2 linked regions of the Coturnix japonica genome follow. The protein of the gene in region 2 interacts with the protein of the main gene of each other region in a pairwise test. Links are inferred from orthologs where the notes say so. Each region holds a gene or a part of one and is shown on either strand. Other genes may lie near its edges.

What was found.
Region 1: the proteins of CSDE1 (region 2) and HID1 interact in binary tests that used the Homo sapiens proteins (3 or more experiments, as listed by UniProt). The two-hybrid records come from large-scale screens. The link is inferred for Coturnix japonica from reciprocal best matches to the Homo sapiens genes CSDE1 and HID1.

Annotation. Positions count from the first base shown.
Region 1 is NC_029533.1:9,276,274-9,280,090, forward strand, and holds part of HID1 (protein HID1), read right to left. Parts: intron 1,382-3,817; coding exon 1,232-1,381; intron 607-1,231; coding exon 436-606; intron 1-435. UniProt on the Homo sapiens protein: May play an important role in the development of cancers in a broad range of tissues.
Region 2 is NC_029541.1:3,912,668-3,916,484, reverse strand, and holds part of CSDE1 (cold shock domain-containing protein E1), read left to right. Parts: intron 1-352; coding exon 353-450; intron 451-589; coding exon 590-671; intron 672-1,009; coding exon 1,010-1,138; intron 1,139-1,303; coding exon 1,304-1,429; intron 1,430-1,893; coding exon 1,894-2,106; intron 2,107-2,782; coding exon 2,783-2,923; intron 2,924-3,011; coding exon 3,012-3,170; intron 3,171-3,817. UniProt on the Homo sapiens protein: RNA-binding protein involved in translationally coupled mRNA turnover.

The sequences.
Region 1 (3,817 bases), on a different chromosome or scaffold from region 2:
TCTCCAGGAGAGCGCTCTTCATGCATAAAACAGCAGCTGCCAAGGGAGAAAGCAGGTAAACATGTATTCCTTGCCTACCTCAGTTATGCTTTCAGCGGTATTTCTCTCATTTGCAGAACACACTAAAGCATGTTACCCTGATCCTTTCCACACTGATTTCAGTTCATACTTTCCATACTGGAAAAGCCTTCCCTCACATACCAGCTCTCTCCTACAGATACACACCCAAGTGAAAACCTCAGGTGACGCAGAGACCTGTGCTAAGCAGAGCAGCTGAGGGCGAGAGCACCAAGAATCAAAGAAAAGAAACTGACTTAGAAGATGCCACCTAGTTTCTGCATAAACAGAAATAACAACAGTGCAGCTGTCCTCAAACGCTTCCTTGCTTCCTCCCGCTCACCCTCCAGAAAGGAGAATAAGTGCCAAGAGACAGACCCCTCCTCGGCCAGCCCCAGGGACAGTTGACCAGAAGAAACCTCTCCAGTCCGGGTCCTCAAAGATGTAAGGCAGGATACGAGTGAGGAGCCGACTGCAGTTCAAGACGATTTGCCTCTCCTTCTCTGTGTGGCAGCCACTCTCTGCTCCCTGCACCAACTTCTCCACAGCCTGCAGGAAATAAAAGAGAGGTAGCATTAGCTTGGACAGGAGCAAAACTGCACAGCTCTGACCTGCTGGTGACATCTTCACATAGATTTATAAGCACTGCTAGGAATCCATTTCCCTGAGTTCAATGGTACCGCCTCCATTGCTGTTAGAAATACTGAGGTAAACAATCTTAACCAGACCTTCTTCAATTTCTTGTCTCACCACAAGGGATCTTACATGTCAGGGTAACCCACACAGCATAAGCGTTGCATGGATAGAGAGCCACAACACCTGCAGGTTCCCTCCAGCACTGACAGCAGAAGTAGAACTAAGGATTCACCATGCAGCTTTTTAATTCATGGGGTCATATTCTCCACTTAGTTTCATAGCAGACTGTCTGGGCTCCTGACTCCGATCGCCTGCATCACTGCCCTTATGGATATGTAAATGCTGTTTGTACAGCCTCAGCCCATCCACGCACAACTCTGTGACTGTGCGTAAATATTTTTCCAGGCACATTTATGACCCTGCACAGCAGGGATGGAGGCTGAGTCTCCAGCTGTGACTGCAGATGACCTCTCAGCCATGCTGCTGTGCTCCCCACAAATACACAGCACAGCACCAAGGAGGACGACGCCATCCTCACCTTATAACACAGAGTTGCCAAGTTGGACGGTGATTCCTCTCTCACTGCTCGGATCTCTGCAGCTGGCACAAGGGCAAAGACATCCTGCACTGACGTGGCTGTGTCTGCCCAGAACTGGTCCCAGAAGGCATCATCCGTTGCTTCCACAGGCTGCAAAGAGACAGAGCTACAGAGGCAGAACCAGCATCCAGTGAGCTCCAAACATCAGTGACTGCAACCGGACTGGGGATGCAACCATCACCACAGAGAACAATAGAGGATAAATAAAACACCAGCACTGATTTATATTCCACTTTTTTTAGTTACCAGAGCCTTGGCTGATGGGAACCTCCCAAACAGAGCACTCCCTCAGCATTGGGGGGTGACCATTTATGTGACCAAGCACATCAGACTTGGACATTCCATGTCTTCCGCAGAGCCACAACACATCACCTGAACCCGCAGAATGTGATGCGTCACCACCACCGGAGGGCAGCAAGCGAGAGGAGCCAGCGCGGCTGCCAGGCTGGTGCAGCAGCTACTGCCCCCGGGCTCTCCTATGTGCTCCTGTAGCCGAGAGGCTCATGGCTCACCCCACTCCTTTCTGCCATGCAATGAATCAGCCCAAGCTACTCTCCACTCACAACCGAATCCATGAGTTAAAGCATCTTCTGCTCTGATGCTGAAGTCCTCTTTATTTTACCGCCTGGCCACCAAACCGAATTCCTACCGAGCCCTTTTCCAAGGAAGACAGACTTTTTCTAAGGGATGGGAGATGGCAGCTCCTCAGCGGGATGTGCAGGACAGCCAGCTGCCTGCAGATGACTTGCAGCAGAACTCGGCTTCCTAAGCATGCAAGAGAGCTGCACTATCTCTCAATCTGTGCACAGAATGCCTAAATGGAGAGAGGAGAAAAGCTATTTGCAAGTCAGATCTCTAATTATGCTCCTCAAAAAGAGCCAAGTACTTGGGAACACAACTATAATGCAGGAAACATCCTCCACTTCCTACATCCCCTTCCAAACCGGGCACCACAGCGGCAGGGCTAATTGCCATGTGCACCTGCTGGCTGCCTGCCACAGCCACTCCCAGCAGCAGGGAGCAGCAACTCCTGCTAACAGGAGATTATGCATCAATAATGGCTTCACTCTCATCTAGAGGGGAAGGAGAAAACCATTTCCCTGCAGCGTACACAGAACCTTTTCCTGCCTGTATCTTCCCTGGAGGCTGAACACAGCGCTGCTCCACAGCCAGCAGCGTGACAGCTACGACTGTCTCCAACAAGAATTACATAGAGATGGAGGAGCACACAGCAATCACCCGAGCTGCAATGTTGGATTCTGCAGCAGCAGTAACGTCTGCCATCTTGGCAATGAGGTTATGCTAAAACACCATTTCTTTGCTTTTTAATAGCTGCATTAAGTCATCTCCCCACCCAACAGATGGCATCCCATGCACAGTCCTAGGGCACAATGCAGCACTGACTCACCCGCAGCCCCCCTGATCTAATGAACCGTCTGGCATCATAAAGCCATTTGATGCACGTAACATTCATCTCCCAAGAACATTGGTGGATGTTTTAAAGCTGACTGTGTTCTGCGTACAGCATCTCCTGAGACCTAAACTCCCACCTCCTTGTGCTGAGCTCACCCAGCAGCCTGTGCGTAGCACACAGGAAAGGGAAGCACAGCGACCTGGAACAGCCCCATTCACTGATCACCTGCTGCTGAAACCACGTCTGTACTGAAGGAAGGAGCTGCCTGCAGCACTGACTGCTGCTGTGAGCACAGCAGGCAGCATTAAATGGATGCGATGGCTCACAGCGGACAAGGGAGGTTTTTATTTTTGCCTTCTGTTCACCTCCACAAGGCTGACCTCCCACCTGCACACTGGCTGCACAAAGCAGAGTCAGTCCTGCAGGCACATCCAGACTTTATTTCCCCAGTAGTTATAAATTAGGAGTTTCAGGTGCTCTAAAACACACCATCCACACACTGCAAGAATCAGAAAGGGAAGCCGTGTGAATTACAAGCATCTCGCCTGTTAGTGAGCAGGGAATCACAGCCCTGCACAAGCAATCCTAACAAACAGGATGTGCCATAGGAAGAAAGAACACGGTGCCGAGCTGACCACTTCCTATCAACAGGAAAAGCTCCCAGAGCGCTGCCTCCCCTGTGTGTTACCGCCCTCAGCACAAAGCTTTTATCGTCTTCACTTTCACACACAGCGCCTTGTCACTTTCCATACAATTCCTCACCAGCTCAGGCAGCACTGCACCTTCACATCCAACGTCTTATATCCAGCACCCGTTCCCAGCTGCCCCTATTAGAGGACCATCCTCCAGTATTCACTTCGTGCCACCGTGCTGACCAGCCCAGAACATTTGTGTGTAGGGACCATCATTCACCCAGGACTCGATGCCCGAATTTCCGACCAGTCTTTTCCAGCCAGCAGTGCGCTCCTTTCCACTGAAATGGGGCAGAATTTAGAGCACGGTGACCACAGAGCCATCCATGCAGCACCAGACTGAGCCCTGTGATGCCAGGCAGCCCTGCAGGTACCTCTGACCACCTGTCTGGGAGCTACTGTGCAAAAGTAAAGCCCGAG
Region 2 (3,817 bases):
TTTTACAGCTTGTTTGCCCACCTGTATCTATGGGGAACTCAGTGTACAGCCAAATAGTTGTTTTTCTGATTTTAAACTGAACAAAGCTGGATTGTGTAATGTTCACATATCCTTAAAGTTCAGGAATTGGCATTTCAAGATGGCCACCTACAAACCTCTCAATTCAGTTGCTTTTTACAGGCTCAAAAGCAGCCCAATGGAAGAAAGAATGTTTTTGCATGCCATGTTTGATCATTTTCCGTTTTCTCACTGAATCCATTTATATAAAAGCAGTTGTTGCTTCTAAACAAAAATATGCTAATCATCCTTTGAATTGACGAGTGGATTAATATTAGACAATGTTAATTTACAGGAAGTATTTTACCTGACTTACACTCCAGAAGATGTTGAAGGAAATATTCAGCTGGAAACAGGAGATAAAATAAACTTTGTAATTGATACGAATAAACAGTAAGTTGATATCATGTTTCTCTTTCAGTGGTCGGGCAGCACTTTGTGCCTTTTCCAAGAACTGAAATAACATGAAGTATAATCTTAATATTGCCTCTGGTTTTCAGACATTTCAGCTTTGTTCTTTTTTTCCCTTTAGTACTGGTGCTGTAAGTGCTCGTAACATTATGCTATTAAAAAAGAAGCAAGCCCGTTGTCAAGGAGTTGTCTGTGCCATGAAAGTAAGTGATGTTTCAGCTTCAAAATATTAAAAGATGAAATTCTTTGCTGTCAAGTTCTCTAAATAGTAAATTCAGTGCATTAAGAACTATTAACATTTTGGATGTGTGAATGTAAACCAGGTCAAGCAGTTTAAACAGCTAATCTTGAGTACACACACTCCTTGAAAACAGGATAGGTGGGATTGTTTCCTGTAATGTATTTGCTATAGTATGAGCTGAATGCACTCAAGTTTGCTGTACTGAAGCGGTGTTGTCTTACTGTTAGAATGTGTAAAATGTTTTCTTAATAATACACTGAGACATTGGGCAATCTACTGAACACTTTCTTCTGTTCTTAGGAAGCCTTTGGATTTATTGAGAGGGGTGATGTCGTGAAGGAGATATTCTTTCACTATAGTGAATTTAAAGGTGACCTAGAAGCCTTACAGCCTGGTGATGATGTGGAGTTTACAATCAAAGACAGAAATGTAAGATGAACTCCAGTTAAAACTGAAGACAAGATCCTGGACAGCTGCCTGTTTATTCAGATTCACCTTAAAAAAAGGGGAGGGTGGGGGGGCAGGGTTCATAGGAAAGTGATCTTATTGTTTTGTCACTTCTTTAGGGACATTTGACTGACTTTGTGCTTTTAGGGTAAAGAAGTTGCAACAGATGTAAGACTGCTGCCACAAGGAACTGTCATTTTTGAAGATATCAGCATAGAACACTTTGAAGGAACTGTAACCAAAGTAATTCCAAAAGTACCCAGCAAAAACCAGGTGTGTTTCAGTATTAAATTTAAGGGAAATGCTGCATTGATTTCCAGTCATAGTACAAATGTTCCCCTTTGTCTGTGGTAGTCTGCTGTTAAGTATCACATTAGAGATCACTGCAGAGTAATTTTGGACTGCTTAACTTGTACCAACCGTTGACAGCAGTCACAGCAAGCAGGGTTTTTTCCACTAAAATTTAAAGGACCAGGAAATAGGGTAATACACAGCAGTAAGGCCTCTCAGAAGCGTGGCAAATGTGGTTATGAGCTTAATTCTCAACATAAATTTTTAGTTATGTTGTCAGTTTGGTTCATCTGATAAGTAAGTTAAATTCTAGTCGTGACAGTGTGATCTAGAAGTGGTCACTCAAACATGATGCCTTCCTAACCTAAATAGGGGCTCAATAAAGCTTTGTGTGCTGAGACTTGTAGGTGTACTAACTTTTTCTGTTGCGTTTTTCTGTCTTCTAGAATGATCCATTACCTGGCCGCATCAAAGTTGATTTTGTGATTCCTAAAGAACTTCCATTTGGAGACAAAGATACAAAATCCAAGGTGACTTTGCTGGAAAGTGACCACGTTCGATTCAATATTTCGACAGACAGACGTGACAAACTGGAACGAGCCACCAATATTGAGGTTCTCCCCAATACTTTCCAGTTTACTAATGAAACTAGGGAAATGGTGAGTATCTGTAACAGTGTAAAAATTGCCAGTGTCTGTTGCCTTGGAGTGGATTGCTCTTTGGTTATAGCAGGAAGAGCAGTCATGCAGCCATGAACAAATTAAAAGCTCATTTTCCTTAGCAAAACTGGTAGAACCTGATGCTGCTCTGGTTCAGGCAATGGAAAGTCTTAAGAATCAGAGGAGGTACTAAATACAGCTTTTGAATCTTGATCTTCTGTGTTCTTTGTACAATCTCTGCCTGAGGATCAGACAGAAGGGTGATAAAGAGCTGAATTCTGTGATGTGCAGAGAAGCTCTTAATGGGTCACAGTGACTGAGATAGTTGTGCTTATCATTATGAAAGAACATCTTTTGTTCTGGTAAAAGTGCTAGAAGACCTAACCTGTGTGTGTGTTTATAGCAGTAACTTTCAGTTCTTTGGCTATCTGTTGTCCTTTTGTGACTTAAATTCATCTTTTTCACTTCTTACTACTTATGAATCAGGGAGAAAGTAGAAAAAAACTAGTTAAATAGGGTTTGCTTGCATTTTAGGTTGCCTGTAACCATTTGCACTACAGTTTGTAAAGAAGTTTATTGAGTAGTTTGTTTTTAGAATTTGAGGTTTGTGTTCATCGTTGTCTTTTTACAGACAAATGTCAACATAGTAAAACTGTAATTGTCCTTCTATTTACAGGGTGTGATTGCAGCGATGAGAGATGGCTTTGGCTTCATTAAGTGTGTTGACAGGGATGCTCGCATGTTCTTTCACTTCAGTGAAATTATGGACGGAAACCAACTCCATATTTCTGATGAAGTAGAGTTCACTGTGGTTCCTGTGAGTGGTCCAATTTCTTTGAAAACCAGGATTTCACAGAAGCATTTATATGCAGTTTATCTAAAATCACATTGATCTTATTTTCCAGGATATGCTGTCTGCCCAAAGAAATCATGCTATAAGGATTAAAAAACTTCCAAAAGGCACAGTTTCTTTCCACACCCAATCGGATCACCGTTTTGTGGGCACTATAGACAAAGAAGCCACTCCAGCCAAAGCCACTAGCCCAAATAAAGGCAAAGAGAAGGTAGTACACGAGTAATATATTGCGTTTCTGGCTTTGCAGAGACCACTGCTTTAAAGTCTACATTCTGAAGCACTTTGTGTCTCGTATAAATTTGGATTTATTGGATATAAATATATCCAATAAATATGTTTATTGGATATAAAAATTGGATTTATTGGATATAAATATATATATTGGATATATGGATATAATGGATATAATGGATATAAATAATGGATATAAATAAATATATATATATATAAAATATATAAATAAATAAATAAATAATAAATGGATATAATGGATATAATAATGGATATAAATATATTGGATTGCTAATTACAATATTTAGTGATGGCTAACTTAAGCAAAACAATATAACAAAAACACTGTTGGTGATGTTTCTGTTGAGGATAACTTCCAAGAGCTTAATGGGAAGATTGCTCCTCCTACTTATTTCAGTAAATAATTAATGGAAATAGTATTGTTAGAGAAAAAGTAATAGCACTGTCTGGTGAAAGCTACAGTTTGCCATTTAAAGCTTGTGTCTTTTGATCATCTTAGAGTTTATTGGTCTGTGTTTTTACCAGATACTTTGCAGTTGTTGCAGAACAAGTAAATGTTCAGTGCTTGAATTGTATATACTAAGTTTGTTTGCATGCAAATAA